3 linked regions of the Caenorhabditis elegans genome follow. The protein of the gene in region 1 interacts with the protein of each later gene in a pairwise test. Each region holds a gene or a part of one and is shown in the gene's direction. Other genes may lie near its edges.

The links. The genes of interacting proteins can lie anywhere in the genome.
Region 2: the proteins of gei-18 (region 1) and cbpl-1 interact in a two-hybrid assay, tested with the Caenorhabditis elegans proteins (one large-scale study listed by BioGRID).
Region 3: the proteins of gei-18 (region 1) and affl-2 interact in a two-hybrid assay, tested with the Caenorhabditis elegans proteins (one large-scale study listed by BioGRID).

What each region holds. Positions count from the first base shown.
Region 1 is NC_003282.8:13,980,002-13,985,765, reverse strand, and holds gei-18 (GEX Interacting protein), read left to right. Parts: upstream 1-3,240; 5' UTR 3,241-3,242; coding exon 3,243-3,300; intron 3,301-3,536; coding exon 3,537-3,641; intron 3,642-3,702; coding exon 3,703-3,872; intron 3,873-3,929; coding exon 3,930-4,227; intron 4,228-4,289; exon of another isoform or gene 4,290-4,310; intron 4,311-4,351; coding exon 4,352-4,544; intron 4,545-4,588; coding exon 4,589-4,679; 3' UTR 4,680-4,704; downstream 4,705-5,764. Other genes in the region: tor-1 (Torsin), read left to right, coding at 73-133, 328-511, 565-1,252; tor-2 (Torsin), read left to right, coding at 1,906-1,966, 2,161-2,344, 2,395-3,082.
Region 2 is NC_003282.8:7,901,129-7,908,570, forward strand, and holds cbpl-1 (Cortactin-binding protein-2 N-terminal domain-containing protein), read left to right. Parts: upstream 1-2,611; 5' UTR 2,612-2,648; coding exon 2,649-2,702; intron 2,703-2,892; coding exon 2,893-3,255; intron 3,256-3,310; coding exon 3,311-3,384; intron 3,385-3,470; coding exon 3,471-3,739; intron 3,740-3,786; coding exon 3,787-4,016; intron 4,017-4,297; coding exon 4,298-4,521; intron 4,522-4,612; coding exon 4,613-4,800; intron 4,801-4,906; coding exon 4,907-5,068; intron 5,069-5,654; coding exon 5,655-5,749; 3' UTR 5,750-5,967; downstream 5,968-7,442. Other genes in the region: arp-11 (Actin-related protein 10), read right to left, coding at 149-327, 377-541, 702-912, 956-1,143; npp-27 (C3HC-type domain-containing protein), read right to left, coding at 6,501-6,593, 7,051-7,186, 7,263-7,442.
Region 3 is NC_003281.10:432,062-441,617, forward strand, and holds affl-2 (AF4/FMR2 C-terminal homology domain-containing protein), read left to right. Parts: upstream 1-2,829; 5' UTR 2,830-2,849; coding exon 2,850-2,907; intron 2,908-2,973; coding exon 2,974-3,050; intron 3,051-3,808; coding exon 3,809-4,082; intron 4,083-4,557; coding exon 4,558-4,663; intron 4,664-4,764; coding exon 4,765-5,465; intron 5,466-6,068; coding exon 6,069-6,297; intron 6,298-6,347; coding exon 6,348-6,477; intron 6,478-6,637; coding exon 6,638-6,889; intron 6,890-7,196; coding exon 7,197-7,333; intron 7,334-7,510; coding exon 7,511-7,769; 3' UTR 7,770-8,081; downstream 8,082-9,556. Other genes in the region: affl-1 (AFF-Like homolog), read left to right, coding at 8,259-8,267, 8,502-8,712, 9,097-9,160, 9,412-9,556.

The sequences.
Region 1 (5,764 bases):
TTTTGCATTTTTGTGATGAGAATTTATGTTTTATTGTTGATTCTTTTTCCAATCGGCAGTTTATCACTGCCAATGTTTTTAAAATGGTTATTTTGCACATGCTGTTTTGAAACGGATATATTCGATTATCTTAGTGAGTATAAGATACAATTTGAACAAATTAGACTCTTCCGGTGGAAAAAGTGAATACTTAAAATATTTACGCACCTTTTAAGCTTGAATGAGACAGTTTGTACTTTTGTAAAAAAAAGCCAAAAGAAAATCTGTATTGAAAATTTGAAAGAACTCCCTTTTTGAGTTAGTACTTGTTATAGTTTCCCATTTCAGAGCTACACAGAGATCTTTCTAGATTTATTTATGGCCAGCATTTGGTAATAGATACTGTGGTTCGTTCAATCAAATCTCACTGGCATAATGAGCATCCTCAGAAACCGTTAGTTCTCTCATTTCATGGTGGGCCGGGTACTGGAAAGAACTATGTGACTGAAATCATCGCAAAAAACACTTTTCGGTAATTGTTCAAGATTTTGCATACTTTCTGAAAAAAATGCATTAGTGTTTCAGAAGTGGACTTCAAAGCCCATATGTGAAGTATTTTGTTGCAACAAAGGATTTTCCAAACAACAAACATATAGAGGATTATAAATTGAAACTAAAAGAACAACTAATACAATCTGCCGACGGATGTGATCGATCCATTTTCGTGTTTGATGAGGTGGATAAATTACAAAGTGAACTGGTTCAAACAATCAAACCTTTTCTTGATTTTTATCCAGCCGTTTTTGAAGTTGACTTTCGAAAAACTACCTTCATTTTTCTAAGCAACAAAGGAAGCTCTGAAATTGCGAACATTGCATTGGAACATCGTCGAAATCTTAAAAAACGGTCACAACTCGAGTTGAAGCATTTTGAACGAACACTTATGTCACATGCATTCAATGAGAAAGGTGGTCTACGAAACACTGAATTGATCTCTAATCAGCTTATTGATCATTATATCCCATTTCTTCCCTTATCTAAGTTCTACGTTTCCCAGTGCATTCAAGTACATCTTCGAAAACGCGGAAGACATGATTTGGCAAAGGATGGAGAATTCATGCAAAGAGTTCTCGATTCTCTTGAATTTTTCCCTGAATCTAGCAAGGTATTTTCCTCGTCAGGATGTAAACGTGTAGATGCAAAAACTGAACTAGAAATTTCCAAGATGGGATTCTCACTCAATTCGGAGAAAGAGTTTAATGATGAGTTGTAGTTTTTTTTCTGTTTCAAAATGTCCAGAAATTTGTTTTCATTCTAAGTGTTTAATTTTTTTGTTGATTTAGCAACATTTACAAAATTGAATGAACTCAATGATGAGTTGTAAATATTTCCCCTGTTTCAAATTGTCCATAACTACGTTTTTATTGTATTCATTTTATTATTTAATTTTGCGAGTAGAAAATGATTTTGAACCAGATACTTTTACCTCCACCAGGTACTCCACCTTTCATAAGTTAATTAGTTTTTATTATCTTTGCATTAAGCTTGAACTGTAGTAACTGCTCAAAATAAAATTGAATTGGTACAAAAATGTTTTTGAATAAAATCAGCCCTTTTGAAATGAAAAAGTTCGCTGAAAAATGGTTTCTATTGAAATTTAAATTCTATGTTCAATGTTTCTTTATCTTCAAATTTCGTTATCAGTGCATCAATCTATTTTTCGGTGTGATTTCTCATGGATATTTTGATGTTAGCAAGAATACGCAGATAACAAGCGACATCTTCTGTTCCATTTCATTTTCCTTTACTTCTCACTTGTCAAATATTTTGTTTTATTCTGAAAGAAAGATGCAATTTTTTAAATATATTATTTTCGTTATCATTCTTAATCAATTAGTCGTCGATGTCCACAGCTTATCAATGCCAATGTTTTTAAAATGTTTATTTTACACTTGCTGCGGTGAAACGGATATATTCAATTATCATGGTGAGTAGCAATATTTTAAGAAATTCAGTCAAAATTCAGAACACCATGCAAATTGTTTCTAATGTAAAACACAGCTATATACAAATTTTGAGTTGTGCTCCGTGATAAGGAGCATTTTTCGCACTTTTTTTTTTGATACTTTTGAAAGAAAAACCGTTTATTTTTTAAATATTTTTCTAAACTTTACATTTCAGCGTTATACAAAGATTTCGATAATAAAATTTTCGGGCAGCACTTGATGGCAGAATCTGTAGTTCATTCAATCAAATCTCATTGGCACAATGAGCATTCTCAGAAGCCGCTAGTTCTCTCATTTCACGGCGGAACCGGCACTGGAAAGAATTATGTGACTGAAATTATTGTGAACAATACTTATCGGTAACTTTTCATTGCTTAAAATTTTTTTGAGAAACAAGTTTATGTTTTAGAAGTGGAATGCACAGCCCATTTGTGAATTATTTCGTTGCAACAAATAATTTTCCGAATAAAAAGTATATTGAGGATTATAAATTGGAACTGAAAGATCAACTTATAAGATCGGCCCGAAGATGTCAGCGATCTATTTTTATATTTGATGAGACGGATAAGCTACAAAGTGAATTGATTCAAGTGATCAAACCATTTCTTGATTATTATCCGGCGGTCTTTGGAGTGGACTTTCGGAAAACTATCTTCATTTTTCTAAGCAACAAAGGGAGCAAAGAAATTGCTAATATCGCATTAGAACATCATGAAAATGGTAAAATAAGATCACAACTCGAGTTGAAGCATTTTGAACGAACACTGATGCTTTCTGCATTCAATGAAGAAGGTGGTCTTCGTAACACTGATATGATCTCTAATCAACTTATTGATCATTTTATACCATTTCTTCCCTTATCTAAGTTCTACGTTTCCCAGTGCATTCAAGTACATCTTCGAAAACGCGGAAGACATGATTTGGCAAAGGATGGAGAATTCATGCAAAGAGTTCTTGATTCTCTTGAATTTTTCCCTGAATCTAGCAAAATATTTTCCTCGTCAGGATGTAAACGTGTGAATGCAAAGACTGATCTCGAAATTTCCAAGATGGGATTCTCACTCAATTCGAAGAAAGAGTTTAATGATGAGTTGTGAAAGTATTTTCTCCTGTTTCAAGATGTTGATAAATTTGTGTTCAATATTTTTTATGGTTCGGTGTTCTCTAAGGCTTTAAGTGGTTTGAAGTTCCAAATACTTATTAATTTGTTAATTTATGCATGTTTTTCTTTTTTTTAAATATCATTATCATCCTCAGATGACTCCGCGGAAAAATAGTGGAACGATGGGAATGGAATTCAACAAGAAAACTCAGTGTGAGTTTTTAAAGTTTGTAGAACGCCAAAAAATTTTGTTTTCTTTAATTTTTTAGGCAAATTTAGAATAAATTAAAAAATTGTAAACTTATGCAAAATTAGATTCTAAAATAGGTAGCAATATGTACACAAAAAAGATAGCAAAAAACGTAACGCCTGCTGTAGGTAAGGCCTATCTAAAAATCTACCTACAATGTAATCCGTAGTTTTCTATTCAGAAATGTAACGATTTCCAGATTATTCGCAATGCCAATTCTGCACTTTGAAAATTTGGTCAAACACGGAAATTGTTCTTGCTGGTGGAAATGTAATTTGCAATTTGTGCATTGCCGAAAAAAGCCGTGAGTTTTTTCCCCTAAAAGTCCAGAAATGTAACTATTAACAATATACATGCTACTTCAGATGCCGTTCAATTCGACAGAAAATATATGATCAAAACATTATCAAAGACATTTTCAAGAAAGTGGGAAATCTCGAATAATTTAATAATGACACTGCTGATTCTTTTGCTCTCTGCACTTTTTTTTATATCTCAAGGAACTTTTTCAATGCTTCAAAATGAACCAAACCAGGTTTGATTTTTCCACATAACTTTGTTCCTTTCGACAAATAAATTTGCTTATTTACAGGATCGAAACCCCTACCAAAACTACATAGAATCAGTAAGATCCTTTGTCAATTCGGATTTCTCAGATATTTCAAAAGAAAATCGGAATCTTTTGAGATTAATTGGTGAACAAATGTTTTTACATCCAGATGAACATGCTCCGCTTGTCATAGTTATTGCTGGTTTGAAAGCTAATGAGTTTTCTGAAAAATTAAACAAGGCAATTCAAAATTCTAAATCAGAGACAAATTCAAATAATTTACCAATTGAAATTGGAAATCAACTTGAAAGAGGAGAGCTACATGCAATATTGAACAATGGTTAGTTTTTTTTTAACTGTTTCACCAAGTTCATTAATTTTGGGCATTTTTGACACTTACGTTATATAGTTGTAAATGTATTTTTCCGAAAATCTCTTGAAATTTATTTCACTTACCACTTTAGCTCTCGCATCACAAATGACACCTAGAACAGCAGTCCTGACAAATATTGATCTTCTTGCATGGGATGCAGTTTTAGTGCTCCATGCCTTTGCGGACCATGGAACTTTTCCCATCCCAAAAACTGTACTCCTCCTAGCAGTATCAACAGAAGAAACTACTTATTCTGGGAATAGTTGTGATGGGAAAATTTTGAAGTAAGTGATTTTTATTTTTAAAATAAAAAGCAATTAAATTCCAGGCTTGTAACGAACCGCTGGATCGAAAATGGAGGAAACTATGACAATATTCCACCAATTGTAGCCAGGATTTCATATTTTATGTGCTTATAATAAAAATTATTTGTTTAAAAATTTAGTTTTTGTTTACTTGGAAATTGTGAAAAAATATGGAATTTTTAAACTTGGTTACTGCAATTTTGTTCACCGGGAAAAATTACTGTTTCAAAAGATTTGTTTAATTGAAAATCCTCATGTTTATTTGGTTCCTTTATATTAAAATTTTGATTAGAAAAATATTATTCACGAGAAAACAAAACAAGTTTTTAAGTGTTTCTGTGAAAATTTAGGGCAGATCAAGTGTAGATCACACAAAATTTTAGGGAAAATCTATAGAAATGCACATTTAAATGTGAAATTAGAAGAAGATATAATATGATCTACGTGTGATCTACTCAAATTTTTCTCAGAAACGCTCAAAACCAAAGGCTGACCGCGCGACAAAACGATTTTGAAAAAAAGTCCTCTTCGAACTCAGAGAATTTAAAATTTAAACTATATTTTGTAAACAAAAACAATTCTTTTTCCTGTTTGTTTTTTTCATCATAACTTTTTATCAGTTTTTCCGTTTATCAATTTAGGGTTCAGTTTACGAAAAAAATAAAAATATTTACATCAATTTTAAAGCCTTTTTCTTCAAAAAACTCGTATTCATTGATGACATTTTCGGTTCCTCATTATTAGTTTTTTTTTGCAGTTTTTTTCGGCATTTTCTTCCTCGATTTAATTCCCTCAATTTTGTGTGCACACAAGTGCTTTTTTTTGTGTGCGTGTTTGTTGTGTCTTGCCCCCTCCTCATCCCGTTGCGTCTCCTCAAAACATGACAAGTAGTTGAACGATAGAGCGAACTTGCATCTTTCGATTTCTCGGCTGGTGGGGCGGGCGACGTCGCAGCAGCACGTCTTCTTCTCGATGAGAATATCGATTTTTCATATCCCAACACGCACTTTTCATGTTTCAATTGTGATGGCTTTTCATTGAAATAATCCTTTTTTTACAACTGGGGTTTTTAGCTAAAAATTGGGAATTTTTGAAAAAAAGAAAATTTCACAAAATTGGTCTCTGGCTGGTCTATCGCTTACTAATTGTTTATTTTATAAAAATATTGTTTAGTTTCTCGTCTCACTGACGAAATCCAA
Region 2 (7,442 bases), 6.1 Mb from region 1:
AAAATGGTACGAACATAATTTATGTCGCTTTTTGTCTGTGAATAAACATTTTTTAAACAAAAAATTGCAGTTTTCCATGATATTTGATAACGTTTGCCAACACATTCAATTTTTAAACTTCTGGTAAGAAAAAACTTTTAAAACTTACAATACAACTGGAGGAACTACAAATATTTTTCCATTATTCGGAAATAGTCTTTCTTTGCAAAGTGTCTCAATATCCGGTTTTTCTCCTTCTTCTGACGCTTCCCATTTTGTCCAATTTTCGGCCCGTTCCTTATCCAGACAAATGAGTGATAAACTAAGCGTTTCGATAAGTTTACACGCCTAAAACATATCTTCAGTTATTGAGTTTTTTCAAGTTTTAGATATTTACATCAATATCTTGCCAATCGTTTTCTGTAATTGCTCGTCTCTCTCCATTTAATTCTGCAATTTGACCATATTTCTCCATTTGCTCCCGAACTCTTCGTTCAAGTTGTCGGCCACAAATCGAGCGAGCTGATTCGAACTCATTCAGCATTGTCACACCTTCGATAATCTGAAAAAAATACAATTTGCAATAAATCATAAATAGAAATTTGAATTTCTAAAAAAAATTTAACTGTTTAAAATTGTAGATGGTAAAAAATTACTCTTTTGTTGATTTTTTTCTAGAAATATTTTCTTATGCTCTTCAAAAATTAAAAATAAGAACTAACTGGAACTGCGATACATTCTGAATGTCCAATATCGACAACGAGAGCATTTTGAGTATTGAATGGAAATGTGGCACAAACATGAGATGGCATGAACATTAGAGATTTGCAACGAATCTTTTCGACAACAATTTTGGTGATGGTATTGCGGAGGGATTCTGACATGAAAATGCTTTCCACAAATATCACTGGACGGTCAGTGGGAGCCAAAACTCTAAAATCCAAGCTTTAAGTTAATCGAGGCCAGAGAGGCTCACTTTAAAAATACAATCCTCAAGAATTTATAGAGAATTTCTTCGTAGTACTCGGTGGACTTTGTAGCAGTCTTCCGATTGTTTAGAGCTAATAATTCATCAGAAGTTATCAATTTTCCTTCATCATCGACGTATTCTGTTCGGATAATATGTCGAGGTGTTATTTCTCCGGCACATCCAATTCTAAACATAGTAAAATTATGAAATTTAAGAACAGTGGAACTCAAACTTCGTTAACTTGCTTCCAATCTCAACCACAACTGCACTTTTTCCATTATCGATTGAACTGATAGCTTGAGATAAAGTTGTCGATGAAAGCGAGATTGATTGATTTGAAACTCCCGACGAACTCCGTCGAGCCGCCTTCAGCGACTCCAACGTTGATTGAGCAGTTGATGCCAGTTTGAACACTACAATATTGATTTTAAGATGATTTAATCTTAAAAAGAAAGGAGTAATTACGAATGTGGCACAATAAATAATGATTGATTCGTCTAATTAAAGTAAAATCTTGATAAAACATTAAAACAAAAAAGTCGTTCTCAATTGAGCGCTTACCGTATACGTGTGCAAACACCATGTATCTTCTATTGCGTACCGCGCGCAGTATATTACGCGCAAAGTTTTTGCGACTCTGAGTGACGTCACCAGACATTTTCTTATCGCTTTCTCGTTTACCGCCAGTTTAAATAATTATTTTATCACTTTTTATAAGTTTTTATCATTTCGCGTAATTACAGTAATCTTTTTATTAAAGGATTTGTTGCTTGATAGTGAACTAAAATAGGTTAACTTTGATTTTTAATGAGAGAGACATCATCGATTGCAGGTTTAGATTAGTTGTATCCATTTCTCTGACTCGAAATCTCTTTTTGCGTACTAATTTTTCAAAATAACCATCGATCTTCATCCAGATTTGAGGAAAATTCCTGTTTATTATTTTCAATATCTGGAAGGCTAAATAGAAAAAATGTTTGACTCGTTTAGGAATCCTAAATTTTGGAGATATAAAATTTGCGTCTTTCAATATTCAACTATTTGGGATATGATTTCCTTTTTTGCAATTATGGATTCTTACTAGAAAAACTACCAGACTCTGGCAAACATTCTCCTCCGCCTTGTTTGCTTTTTTCGTTGCTGGTCATCTTCAACAAACAGTGTACTTAAGCTCAGCATCACCACCGTGTTTTTTCATGGTGAAAACAACCCAGTTAAAATGGCTGAACAAGATGTTTAGATTTTTCTCGATAACATCTGATTGTGTAGGTCACCTTTACAAAGTTCATTTGAACTTTTTGCTATATCGTTATTCGAACGGATCTTCTCTCTTAACATAAAAGTTCCTTGCAATAGATATCGTTCAAAACGAACCAAGTGTCATCACTTGGAGCGGAGCCAGTAGAGCCCTGCTCTCGACATGTGAGAGCCCGGTCGCAAGGCATAGGGAATGACAACATTTCGTCTGCGTCTCCACCTCTTCAAGCAATCACTGTGAAATAGAAGCACACGAAGTTACACACTTGAATCCCTTTCTCTATATCCCTCGGTCTCTAGTTCTTCAGTTTATCCACGTTCAACGTCTGCTTTTTCTTCTTCTGCATCGACTTCGTGTTTTTTTCTCCAGAAATTTCGAAAACGTTTCAAAAATAATTTTTCCAGACTTCTGCTTCACGGCGTTTGCCGTGTTTCTTTCACGATGCCAAATTTACTCGATGACAGTTTTGATCCAACTTTTCAATCAACATCAAAAGTGAGTTTTAATTCCACAAGGAACATAAAATTGTAAGCAAAGTTTGTATACTCTAATTTTTAATATTCACAGTCTCAAATTATTCTAAGATTGCAAATTAACGCTCATTTTCCGAGTGATTGAGCCACACCCAAAGTTTTGAAAATATATAATTTATCAGTAATTAACCAAAAACTTCTACAATGTTCAGAAATTGGTACTTCCGTCTATTCGAAAGGTTCAGCCCGAATATGACAATCTTCCCGAAGAGCAGGGGGTTAACGATTTCTCAAGTGATGAACTGATGAAATTGCTCTCGTTCATGGAAGGTGAAGTTCAAGCAAGAGAAGATGTCATTGATCATCTGAAACGTGAAAGAACGAAAATTCTACTATCCGAAGCTAAATATGGAAAACTAAATATGAACGATCCATTTGCTGCGTTGCGACGAGATTCGGCAATTACTGGCGAACAGATTGATGAAGAGAAGATTGTTCAAATGTACGAGTCACAAGTGGATCAGTTGGATAAGATGATGGCAGTGCAAAAGCAATCGCAAAGAAATGCGGCTGTGGTAATTAAATTTTTGTGCAGCTCCCTCTATTTACACCAATCAAAAAAGTTTTCAGCTGTTGGTTGCGCTGGAGAAGAAGCAATATAAACTCGTGAAAAAGTTGGAGGCGGATAGAGAAGCTAAAATAAGGTGAGTTATATATTACGAAATAAGAAAATACCTTAATAAACATTATAACTCGACTCATACGCCTAAAATTTAGAACAAATCTTTAGGTACGCGAAACAAGGAGATGATTTGGTCGCTCACTTGGAAAAAGAACGAAATCAACTTCAACAACAAATTGAATTTCATATTGAGGAGAAACGCAAAGCCGAAATCGCAAAGGATAAAATGGAAATGACACTTGGAAATGAGAAAAAACGTCACGAATCAATCGTTTTGTATTTGATACAAGAACGCAAACAAATGCTTTTAAAAATGCACGAATTAAGAGTGAAAGCCGAACAAATTATGCTTCAAAATCAAAATGATCCTACCAAACGTGAGTTAACTGCAAAATAAGTTTTTTTAGTTCAATAAAACTTTCAGCTGGTCCATCATCAGCGTTAAGTGAACGCGAGCTTATTGAGGAGCTGAAAAAAGAAGTCACGTTTTTACGAGCAGAACGGGAATCGCTCACAAAAACTCAGAAAATGGTGAAAACTGAAAATCTGAGCCTTCGAGAAACAGTTCGTGGACAAGAAGCCGATCTTCAGATGCTTCGACGGAATCTGACGTTAACTGGAGCAAAAATGTCAATTGATAAGCCTGGGAATGTAGTGAGTTTTGTTTCAAATTTTCAATTTTCCTGAAACGGTCATAGAAATTTGGTTTATCGATGTCTCTAAATGTCAAAAGAATTGTTTTAAATTAGCTCTTGACAAATGCAAAAAAGTTGTAACTTTTTACTTATTACATGATATTTCCCATCTGCATTTTCTTTTATCAGTTGAACATAATAAGACAACCTTCACATAGTTGATTGCACTCATGATTAGCAAAATTTAGCTCTCAAAACAAGTTATGGAATTTCCGCATTTCATATTTTATGTTATTGCAGCTACCTCAACTTCCACCCGACACAGGATCCCTAATAATGGCGAATCGAGGTGCAAAACCAGCAGTTAATAGACAACAGCCAGCTCCTCCTCCTGTAGCTCGTCTTCCAAATTCAGCAACATTTCCAACTGAAAAGAGTCGACTTCCAAGAGCTCCACCTCCAGCTGTAACAACACCGGTCCCTCGAATGAGTATTGGAAGTTTGCCGGCATCTAGTTCTAATGTGTAAGATTTCTGACTACAATCAATTTTGATATTGCTATGTCACTGCAATCTGCCAAACTCAAACAAATTACAGTACCATGAAAACTTTCAGACCTCGCACAATGAGTTCGCCAGTGAAAAAGACACCAGTTATGGGTGTTTCCTCCACAGCAGTCCGACGCCCTCAGTCCGCAGCAACTACTACAATGCCAACTACCTCAGTTATAACAAATACATCTGCTGTGATGCCACTGTCGCCTGATCTCGAACAGCTGGAGGCTGCCATACAATCTATGAATGGTACGTTTTTTTCTTTGATTTTTCAAAACTTTCTGCACATTCTTATTTAATTTGGCAAGGCTTTATATTATTGTGTTAGTCTTTTCGTAGTTATGTCATTCTTCAGTTGTTACCGCCAGTCCCCCCGCATATTCAACTGCCATGGCCAAACGGAGTTCAAGTCTTCCGAGAGAAGCAAATAACAATCCACCAGGAGCTCCAATCCGTAGAAGCACGATGAACGGTGGAATGCACACATCTACGACGGGAGTCGTTAGCACTAGAATTGGCATGTTTTTGTAGTTATAGACTTGTGTTTTCTCGTTTTTTTTTTCAAGATGGCAGTTACCTTGAAAGAGCTGAAAGACAGTAGTAACTATGCAATCACTTGTAGTTTTGCGCTCAAGAGTATTGTTTTTGGTTTTCGGTATTGGGAAATTTCCATTTAGAAAACAAAATCATTCAGTCTTTGTAGGTGGAATATGAATGCAAATTGTGTCTGACTTTAAAAACTACTGCAGTTTTAAACTTTCTGCGGGAGTTTCATCGGTTCTTCAAACGTTTTTTTCTAGATTTGTTAAAATTTATGTGTTTTAAAAACTGGTTTTTTAATAAGTTTATTTTTATCGGAACCCTATGAAAAATCTATGAAAATTCCGCAGCCACACAAGTTTGAACTCACAGTACTCGCTAAAAGAGCATACCCTCCTTTTTTAGCAGACAGTTTTCGTTTCGAGACCGGGACCGTATTTTTAGCGCGAAAATCTGAAAATTTCGCATCCGGATAATACGAAAATGAATAAAAATAAATTTTAATATCTACATTTCTTAACTCCTACATTACTTATTCTGTTTTAATATGTTTCTTTTTTCAGCCGGACCTTCGTCAAACGTGGCAAGTGAACGAAAACTTTCTGGAACTGTAAAGCGGAACGGAATTCTCGCAAAAGCGTTTGGATCATCGAAATGATATTTTATATTCAAAATCTTAACTTACCTATCTGCACTTCTACCTAACAAACATTCATGGGTATTACGATTCTCTCATTCTTTCAGTTTTTGCTCAATTTTCTTACAATGTTTTATCGCACTTTTCATCATTTTCTTACTTGTTTGTTTATAGTTTTCATTTCGTGTAAAATCAGATCAAATTAAATATTGCACGTATAATGAAAATATTAAATTCGAGATATATTGTTCATTTAAAAAAAAGACGAAATCTAGTTTATAAAAGTCAGAAAAGATCCGTGAAATGATTGAAGCCTAGTGGTAGAGGAACGAGCGAGGACTTGTAATATTTTCGTTTTAAAAAAACAAAGTCTATTTTCACGAATGAATAGTACAAGTAGGGCACAAATGAGGAGGGGGAAATAGAATGAAAAGACGATATGGACCCGTCTATGGTCGATTTTCCAATAAGGAAAAGGGGTATTTCATGATGAGCATGTTCTACTAATATTGATGGATGCGAATTTGTCAAGAATATCATTCTTTAAACTATTATATTAAAATCAAAGTGTTCCGAATGTGAGGCAAAAGAAAAAAATGTGATCGAAAAAGATTTGGGGCCCTGGAAAGTGCAAAAAGAGTGAGATGACTGGTTGGATGGGTTGGAGCCAACTGAAAATAAGGCAAAAAATAAGAAAGAACTAGACGATTCATAAGAGGCACTGGATGAAGATGTCGCGGGACAAAACACGAAAGAAAATTGGAAAAAAGCATCAAATATAATTTGGTGTGATGATTGTAGAAAGTGAACTGTCGAGAAGACGTCGAGCCGCGTATGCTTCTTTGAAGATCGATGACCCAGTGTACTGAAATTACGAAAAAAATAAAATTTTTAATTTTTCAAGTTTAGTATAGGTGTTGGCGGCGAATCTCCTCGGCCAATTTACAAAACTTTTTAAGATTAAAATAAATGTAGAAATCATTTGCCGACAAAATTTATACACCATTACTTTCATAAATGGCATGTTTCAAGTAGTTTTTGATATTGTTTTCAAGTTTTTCAATAAAAATAAATTTTATTTCCAAACTAATCAAGTTTTTTTTTCTATATTTTTTTCAATTTCAAAAATTTTTTATCATATCGTAATTTCGCGATATTTGGGAATGTCGTTTTAAGATACACGCTATTTTTCAAATGGGTCTCGGAACGATCTCAGTCATAATGTCTGCTATAGCGCTACAGAAGCCAAATAGTGCTGATTTGTTTAATTTTTGGATTGCAAAAATGAAAGTTTTCAAGTAATTATATTAGCGAGCACTTACTCGGTTAGTCACATGATTTTTTGTGTTGAGGACAGTGTTGAGATCAGATTGCCAACTTGGTTCCCCGTGATCATCCATTTCAATCCGAGGACACCAACGTTCATGATTGTGAATCGGATCAAATTTGTTTCCGCACCTGGAAATGGAAAATTGGAAAAATAGGAAAAAACTAGAACGAGTATCGATTATAATTTTTAATTTAGCTCACGAACCTAATGGCTAACTCTCTGGCACAATTGTCACATCCAAAAAGAAGAGATCCTCGTTTTGGCATCGAAACATGCCATCCAAGAGCTGCTACATAAATAAGTTGTTCTGGAACTCCTTCAATTTTCGGAAGATTCACATCTGATGGGATATCAGCCTTCAAGTCTTCATCGATAATTTTTTTA
Region 3 (9,556 bases), on another chromosome or scaffold:
GTATGTAGCTTGGTTTAGATTCTGAACTTCAGAAGTCAGTGAGATCAAACTTGGGCCGAACAAGTTTTCTTTTGTTGGGCCTACGCTGGCTTGTTGCCAGCTTAGCTGTTTAATGTGGAATTATATGTAGAGAAACCAAAAATGCTCAAAAAGACGCTAGAAAAAAGTTATAAAAATGTTTAAAAACAAAAGCTCGATGTGCCTTGAATTTTAATGCACCCTCATTTATGTACCTCTGACACTTGGACCCAAACTTATAGGGACCTCAAAAATTAGTCTAGCAAAAAGAAATATGGTTATGTATTTGCACCGACCTAGGAACACGAAAATGGTTGGAGATTGTTAAATGAGTACCAACTGAAGTTTGAAGGTGATCTCCCTTTTGTGGCACGTGGTGTCAGAGTGACTCATTTCGTTTTGATCTACGTAGATCTACAAAAAATGCGGCAGAGTACTCAACTGATTTCGCATGGCTAAGAACGTGCTGACGTCAAATTTTTTTGGGCGAAAAAATCCCGCATTTTTTGTAGATCAAACCACAATGGGACAGCCTGGAACAAGGTGTGTGGGTATATTATCTCATTCAGTTCTACTTTGGAACAGGAATTCGAAATGAAGCTGAAAAAAATTGTTAAAACCCCTTAGAAAAGAGGCATGTTAAAAATAAGAATTTTTTAAAAAGTAAGAAAATTCCAGGAACCAAAGTTATTCGGCAAACTTAGAAATTTGCCGGAAATTAACAAATGCTTAAAAAAAATTATAAATCGTGATTGATTACGTCTAAGCTAAAAAAATCTGGTACTGAAAAATCAAAAACCTCAACTTTAAAAACTCGAGGAGTTTGGTAAATTTGATCTACCACGTGAGATAACTTCCGGTACTATGACATGGAGTAAAACAAAACAGTATGTGAATAATAAAGGTTTTCTCATTTTCCTGTCCTCCTCCTCGATTTCCTCAACTACTACCCCATCCCCCCCTAACACTTCTCGCGGAACACCACTGAAGCGTCTGCGTCTCTACACACTACTCCTCTCTCTCTCTCTCTCTCTCTCTCTCTCTCTCTCTCTCTCTCTCTCTCTCTCGACCAGTGCTAAACCTGCCCCCGGGTGCGCCGATTTCGCCCAGCCGTCTCTATTCTCTCTGTCTCTTGTGCCTCCCCCCGTTTTCAACCACTGTCTCTTTTTTTTTGCTGTCTTTTCTCGATTATTATTGCGTACAAAACTGTGAGTGTGTATATCGGACGAAGAAGCGTACGAAATTGAGAAGAACAAGATGAAGACGATTTTCTTGATATATTTTTTGTTGTTCATTTGGGATTAGGAGAGATTTTTTGAAAAACTTTGAATACTCTTATATTTTCTGGCTCTATGAAATTGCGCTTTTTTTAAAGCTTCGACTGATATATTCCAATTTGAGTTTTTGCATAAAAATTTACAAAAACTAGATTTACACTAGATTTGAAATTTTCCTTGTTAATGACTAATTTTCAGTTAAATTCACGGTAAATTCCTTAGAATTTGAATTAATCGTGTTTTTCTACCTCAAATGATTTACAAAAAATTATTATAAATTAGGATGTTTTTTTTTGTTGAAAAACCAAGCAGTTATTTTATTTGACAAGTTTTTTTAATATTTAAATTAAGAAAATTATGGATTTTCTTTTGAAAAATTTCATCATAAAATACGGTCATTTGATGTAATTTTGAGTATATTTAAGCAAAAATTGAATTATTACCTAAAATTTGAAAAAAAAATTGGGTTTTTTTCTGTGTAATTTATTATTTTTCCCATGATCTAAACTTTTTTTTCAAATTTCGGCTTATGCTACATTTGAAAAAATCCTCTCTAAAAATGGGGGAAATTTAAAAAAAATGCAAGTTGTTCAAAATTTCTCAAAAAAACTAAATTAGTTCGACTTTAAAAAAAATTAAAATTAAAAATTGGTTTTTGTTATAGATTAGCTATAAAATTTTTTTAAATTCAACAATAAATAATTTTTTGAAAAAAAAACCAACAATAACTAGTTTGGCAGACATGGTGCATCGACAAAAAATCTTGGTTCTTTTTAAAGAATACTAAGTAATTTGAAACGAATATTTTGTTAGTTGACAATTTTTAAAAAAACTGTCAAAGTTAGGACAGACATGGTGCATCGTTTGAAAATTGAAACTCTTATTATTTGGCAACTTTGACCTATCTTAATTAATTTTTAAACTATAATTCGATAATTTTTCGAGAAAACCAGAAATAAGCAAGATGATACTTGAAATATTGAAACTGTTAACTTTGTTAGTGTGAAATTTGCCATTCTTCATGCGTCTTTAAACTTGGATTACTGTAATTCTTCATCCAATTTTTGATCTCTCATTTCTCTCTCAGTTAACGTAACTGTCGCCTAATCTCTTTATTTCCCTTATACAGCTAACACTTACACACCTCCCCCTCCCCCCATTCACCTTTCAACGAGAGAGTGCGTGAGAGAGAAGATACGCAGAGAAAGAGGGGAAAGATAGGCAACCGCCGGGCATGGAGATGTCTCTGTATGTGTCCTAATTAGTACCCCCACAAGACAGACATTTGATACTTTTGTTTTTAGAAGATTTGCTTTTTCTTACTTTTCTTGTTAGCGGGTTAGCGTAATTAGTTTAAAAAATGTTTTCCTTGGATTCTTGGGTTGAAAATCGATTTTTCTTCCTACAAAGGAAAAATGTTCCGTTTGTTTTTAACTTTTTACGGCATTTGGGCTTTGGCCTAGTTTAGGCCTATATCCTAAGCTTGGGATTTGGCTTGCATTTTTGAAAACAAAAAAAAAACTTCTTATTGCAGGTAAACCTTACACATATTTAATGGAAGAAGACTCACGGGAAGACGATTTCAATGGGAAAATTCGACGCAGCTTATGTGGTAAGTCTTATTTGTTGGGAAGTCAAAAAAAAAAAAAGAAATAAAACTTAAAATTGTCAATTACAGAATGGCTTGGCCCATTTGAAGAGTTTCATGATCGGGTAGCAAAGAATCAGCAGACTTCACGGCACGGGTTGATCAGGGTGAGCATTTTTTTTGGAAGATATAAAAAAATGTTAAATTATACAAAATAAAGAAAAAATGATTAAAATATGTTGTTAGTTGGAAAAAATTACTTTCCGGCAAACCGGCAAATAGTCGATTTGCCGAACTTGCCGGAAATTTTCGAAAAAAAGGTTTTGCAATTATTTTTTTGGAAATTTCCGAATTTCAATTTCAAATTACAAAATTAAACGCATCCTATGAATGCTTCTGCATCTATTTTGAAAAGTAAGCAATTTCTATGAAAATATCTACATAGAAAAAAAGGAAAAATTCTAAATGACAAGTTTTAAGTGTTGCCGTGTGAAAAAATCTCTCTAGACATTTCCGGCAAATCTGATATCTGGCAAACGGCAAATCGTCAATTTCCGGCAAATCGGCAAATTGGCAATTTGCCGGAATTGAAAATTTCCGGCAAGTTGGCAAACCGGCAATATGCCGATTTGGAATTTTTGTACAGCTAACATAAAAAATGTATTTTAACGTGTGCTTCAAAAAATAAATTTATAACTAAATTTAACGTAAAAAATATATCAAAAATTTCCAAATTAAAAAAAAAAACTTTATTTCGAAATTTTCCCGTTAAATTTCCAGTTGTCTCAAAATTGTGTGAATTTTTGCAGAATTCTACTTAAATATAGGTATTCAAAACGTTTTTTTACATGAGTTTTCCAATTTTTGGTAAAAATCAGCAGGGATTTTTTTTCGAAAAACCTTTTTTTCAAAAACATTTTTCCAGTCTAAAATGAAGCCCCGCCCATCTCCATTTGTCACGTTACAAGCTCCGCCCCACGAATCGCCAAGTCATGTGCCTGTCCACGTGGCGCTTCAAAGTATGAAAAATCTGGTTGATGAGAGAATCACTGAGATTACACATCATGAATTTGCTGATTTGAAAAAAGGAATGAATAATGTGAAGAGCAGTGCCACGTCATCAACGGATAAAAAACGAAAAATTGGAGAAGATGAGGATAGTCAGATTGAAGTGAAACGGAAAAAGGAATCCAGGAATTGTAAGTTTTTTTTGTGGAAAAAAACAATGGACGGAAAGTTTGACCTACGCAAAATTGCGGGAAAATTCCATTAGCAGTATGTAGCGTCACACGTGTTTCACAAATACACGTGGCGTCAGAGTGTCTCAATTCGGCTTGATCTACGTAGATCTAAAAAAATGCGGGTGGAGAGACGCAGAGTTCTCAACTGATTTCGCATGGTTGAAAAAATTCCCGCATTTTTTTGTAGATCAAACCGTAGTGGGACAGCCTGGCACCATGTGCAAATATAAGTTTGGCGGGAAATTTGAAGTGAAAATTTTATTTTTTGAAATAGTTGGCTTTTAATAAAAATATTTTTGGCGTGAAAATTGATCTACAAAATTGGCTGGAAAATTATTTATATACTGTGTGACGTCACAAGCGGTTTCAGAAATAAACGGAAGTTTGAATTTATTGAAAATATTTGTATTTGAAAAAATAATAAATTTTCCAGACATTCCCCCTTCAACACCGGATTCGGGTACTCACTCCACCGAAAGTGATATGATCGAGGAGCCGAATTCTGATGAGGTGGCTGCGATGCTCAGTATCATGAAAACGTAGGTTTTGGGTCAGCCTAGCAGCCATAACATAGCCACATATGAATACCTACAAAAATTGTATTTGAATATTCAGTACATATAAAAATCTAAAATTTCAGACTGGACACTCCGAAACTCTCGCCGCTTCCGAAAGACTTCAAAGTGGTGTGCAAGGAAGATGAGCAACCAGGACCCTCTTCATCCAAATTCCCATCGGACAGTTCAGTATCAGCTGCCTCGACATCTCGGGAGTCCACACCGGAGCCCAAACTCTTGGGTACTCTTCGGATAAAGGCTCTGAAGCCAGAACGGGTGCAGAAGCTCATTGAGCTTGCGAAGACCCGAGGGAAGCTGACGGATGTTGTGGAAGTTGAGAAGAAGGTTGTGGAGAAAGTGGTTGAAAAACAGGAAAAGAGAGTTCTGGAACCTCTTCCACCTCCACCAAGGCCCCCATCGGTTCCAGCGGTCCCTGCGGTACCCACACCTTCTAGAGACCCAATACTTGGCCCAGGATCCGGATCCGCTCGGAATTCTCCACTGCCGCCACAAAAACCCGCCAACAAAACGGTTCAGAGTCTTCAAGGGCTTCAAGGTTCCAGTCGAACGATGAGCCCATCACCAAGAAACATCCGATCAACCACTCCATCGGTACCATCAAGGCCCCCATCTGCTCTGTCTACTCACAGCCATGTGGAAACGGAGGTGGCCGCAGTGGCAACCACGTCGGCGCCAGCAGAAGCATCGGCGGCAGTAAAGCCGAGATTTGTGTGCCAGTGGTCACATGCGAGATTGAAAAAAGCCCAGCGAGTTCCGTTTCCAGGTGAGTACCTACTTCTTAGATTTAGGTTTAGTCTTAGGCTTAGGCATAGGCTTTGGCTTAGGCTTAGGCTTTGGCCTATACTTAGGCTCAGGCTTAGGCTTTGGCGTTGCCTTAGGCTTGGGCTTTGCCTTAGGATTAGGCTTAGGAATAGGCTTAGGCCTTAGCTTAGGCTCAGGGTTAGGATTAGTCTTAGACTCATTCTTAACAATAGGCTTAGACTTTGGCATAGGCGTGGGCTTCAACTTAGGCTCAGGCTCAGGCTTAGGCTTAGGCTATGGCTCAGGCTTCGGAGTAACGAAAGTCAAAATTGGGAACGTAGCGTCTAACTTCCAATCGATGCACCATGTCAGGTTAAAACATTTATTTTTCGATTTAACCAATATTAACAGAGACAAAATATTACGACGTTTTCCTGTTTTGTCGATGTACCATGTCTGTCTTAACTTTTACAGTTTATACCTCGGCTCGCTTTAGGTTTATCAAAAAATTTTCAACTGACAAAATATTTATGGTTTCTTTTTCTACATATTTCCAGTTATAAATCTATCAATATTTTCAAATTGAACCAAGATATTTTCCTCCAAACCCAGTTACATTTTTCAGACCCTTCATCAACCTCCACCAAGACAAAAGGAGAGTTCTATCATGCTTTGGCAAAGGACTGGAAGTCAAAAGCCGACAATAGCAAGGATCGTGTGACTCGTCCCCTCAACTACATGCTCTCCAGTGTATTTTTTGTACTTGAAGCCATCTGGAAAGCTGACAAGGAGCGGACAACTCAATCCAAAATGCAATGCGCTTCGATCTATCGGGACACTTATGAGCTTCTAGGGTTAGTTTCTGGGACTTTGGGATTTTTTAAAAATTGATGAATAATTTCAGAGTCGCCGTGTTTCAAGGTGTCCGCGACACCGACGATTCCCTGGCGGTTCACATTTTGCCACGTGTCAAAGTGATCGGTCAGGTGATGCTAGCTGTGATGCAGTATCAGATGTATATTTTTAGATCAGAGGTATGTTTTTTTTTCCTTAAAATAAAACTTCAAAAGTATACAAGCACTCTGAACTGGAGAAATTCTGAAAATCTGAAAATTCAGGTTCTGAAAAAAAATCCGATTTATCAACACTAATATTCTAAATTCTAAATTCTAAATTCCAAATTCGAAATTCTAGCAAGCAATAAAAACAATGTCACGATTGGACATGCGAGAAGTCTCCGAATCCATCGACATTCGACCGGTGTCCCGTGCATCCGACTCCTCGTCAGTTCATTCTCAGCATCTAACAGTCCCCACAAACAAAGCGGTGACGTCAGTGGCTCACGGGACCCCCAAACCATCCCCGTCCGCCGGATCGACACCATCTGGTCCAACTGGGGCACCTGTAATCCCATGGATCGCCAGCATTCAGGCTTGTCAGAATATGGTAAGGTTTTGTGGAAGTAGACAATTTTTTTGATTTTTTTGCAGAGGAAATCAATAAAATCGGATAAAAATAGTAGGAAATGTTTTTAAAAAGTCTTCAAAAAGATAAACTGGGACTAAGCTAAGGCTTAGGCTTAGGACTAAGCTTAGGACTGAGCACAAGCCCAGGGACTAAGACTAAACCTAAGCCTAAGCTTAAACTTTTGCTTTATCAAAAGTATGTTAATTTTTATGAAAAAAAACATGGATTTTGAAATTTTTTCTGTGACCATGTCCCAAATTTTTTTTCTAAAAAGTTGATTTTCCAGGTCTCAATGCCCCAAATTGTCTACGATGCCTACAAATCGCAGCTCAAAACTGCCAACGGGTTGATGTTGGCCAGTAGATATTGGGAAGACTCGAAAACTCTGTCAAATATTATCGATTCAGGAACTTTTGTCAAAGAGTAAGTGACAATATGATAGAAAGTGTTATGTTAGTTATTTTTTGTCAGTTGATAATTTTTGATAGAGCCAGCTCATTTTGCTCACATTTTGGTTCATGTTGAAAATATTAGAAAATTTGTAATAACGGCTTAACCAAGACTAACCACAGTTTTTAAATATAATTTTAAATTTTTCAGCGTTGAATCTATCGTCGGAAAATCCATCTCAATGGACATGCAATTCGCCGATCTTGCCACATTTGTGCTCACCGCCGTCGGAAGCCTGAAGGCCGAGTACGAGGAGGAGCAGAAGCAGCCGGCAAAGCCAATTCTGGCAAAAGTCAAGAAGGGCCTGGACTTGGCAATCAGGACGGGAACTTTTCATTCTGATAGGCCACCTCCAGTGCACCGCCCGTCAAATAACACTCCCGATGGAAAAGCTCGTCGGAAGCAATAATTTTGTCTTTTTTTTCTAGGCTGGTCCCCCCCCCCCATACTTGATATCACGGTTGTCTTGTGCATTTGAGCTTTGGGCTAGTTTAGGCTTAGGCCTAGACACTACCAAGCTGCACGGACCGTTATTTTTCCCCTCATTTGTTTTTTCTAGGCCGGTTCCCATACTTATTATCACGGTTCTCTTTGTGTATTCCATGCTCTTTCCAGTTCTCCTCTCTAGTCACACTGAGACTTATGAGTGTATACATTTTCCAATTTTAATTATTACTATTTCACTCTTTCTCTCCTGTTTCATATGAAGATACATTATTTGAATTTTAATTATGGAGTGCCCCCACACCTGATCAAGAGACGGCACATAGCAACGGGGGTCGGGTGAGAACTCCGGTGGGACTTTGACACATTGGATACCCGCGCGCACTTTTTCTTCTTCTCCTATTCTACATTTTCCCAGGCTTTGTTGTTATCTTTTGCCGAGCAGCACCCGAATATGAAATCGGTGAGTTTGAGCAGCAATCTGAGGATTTCTTGTATTTTTGGGATTCTTTCATTTCTGGCGATCAGGATTTCGGTCAATTGCCAGAATATCAGATATGCTGCAAATTTTCAAATAGGTCCCTACAAAAATTTAGTCCTTATATCATGCTCCCAACTTTGACCAACCTTTAAATAAATTCCCGAGTTTCAGTACTTTTATGCGGCATAGGTAATCTACCCATAACTCAAATTCCAGGGCAAACCAAAACTTCCGCATACTTCACGTTCATTGAGCCCCGTGGGTTGTCTCCGTACCCGTAGAATGCTTGAAGAAATGGCCGGCCTCGTGGGAACTAAACCATTGAGCCAGCTTCCTCGAAGATTTGAGGACCTACAAGATGATTCAACGGCTACCTCACCATCCTCTGACAGGTGGAATTGGATGGAAGATGAGAAGTCTAGTTATGGTAAGTCAGTGAACTGACCGACTGTTTTGTTTTCAACTGTACTTTACATGACAGTAAACTTCTGAGTTTGCCTATTTTTAGTCCTGGCGTGGTTTTTTTCAGCGCCGGCATTGCTCCTAATTACTGAAAAATATGAAAAGTCTGAGCAAGTTGCAGGCCTAATTTTGCAAACTTAAATAGACAGCATTTTCTCCTCGGAAAGTTAAATTTTACCATTCACATCTTACCGAGCCGCAAAGGCCCCCACGCACCCTGGGTCTAGGGCACAGGGTCTTGGTCCAAAGTGCGAGGGGCGACAAAATCCGAAGCTAGCTACATGCATGTCAAATGCTCAGGAACCGGCGATCCTTTGCCGCTCAAGCATCGAAATCTTTATATTTTCAGAAAGCCTCTCACTGACTCCATTCTCCTCTGTTTCCCCCAATACCAGTAAGAAGTCTGCAACAGGGTAAGTTGTAGTAGGCTAGGGGTGGCGATAGGTAGCGTGGTCTCAGGCTGTCCCATTACGGTTTGACCTACAGAAAATGCGGGAATTTTTTCCTCAAAAAATGTGACAACGGCACGTTCTTAACCATGCGAAATAAGTTGAGAAGTCTGCGTCGAAATTCTCGCGATTCTCGTAAATCTACGTAGATCAAACCGAAATGGGGCACTCTGACACGTGACTAGGCTCTTTTTTGAAAACTCCGATAATTCCAGACTTGAAACTCCAAAGTCTGCTGGAAACCTACACAGCCAAGATAGGAATTTGTCGTGCTCAAAACCCAAGATAACTCCGGTATGGAAAGCCCCATCGGCTTTCCTCAAACCATGGAGTCCTAGAAAGAGATTCTCGTCTGTAGAG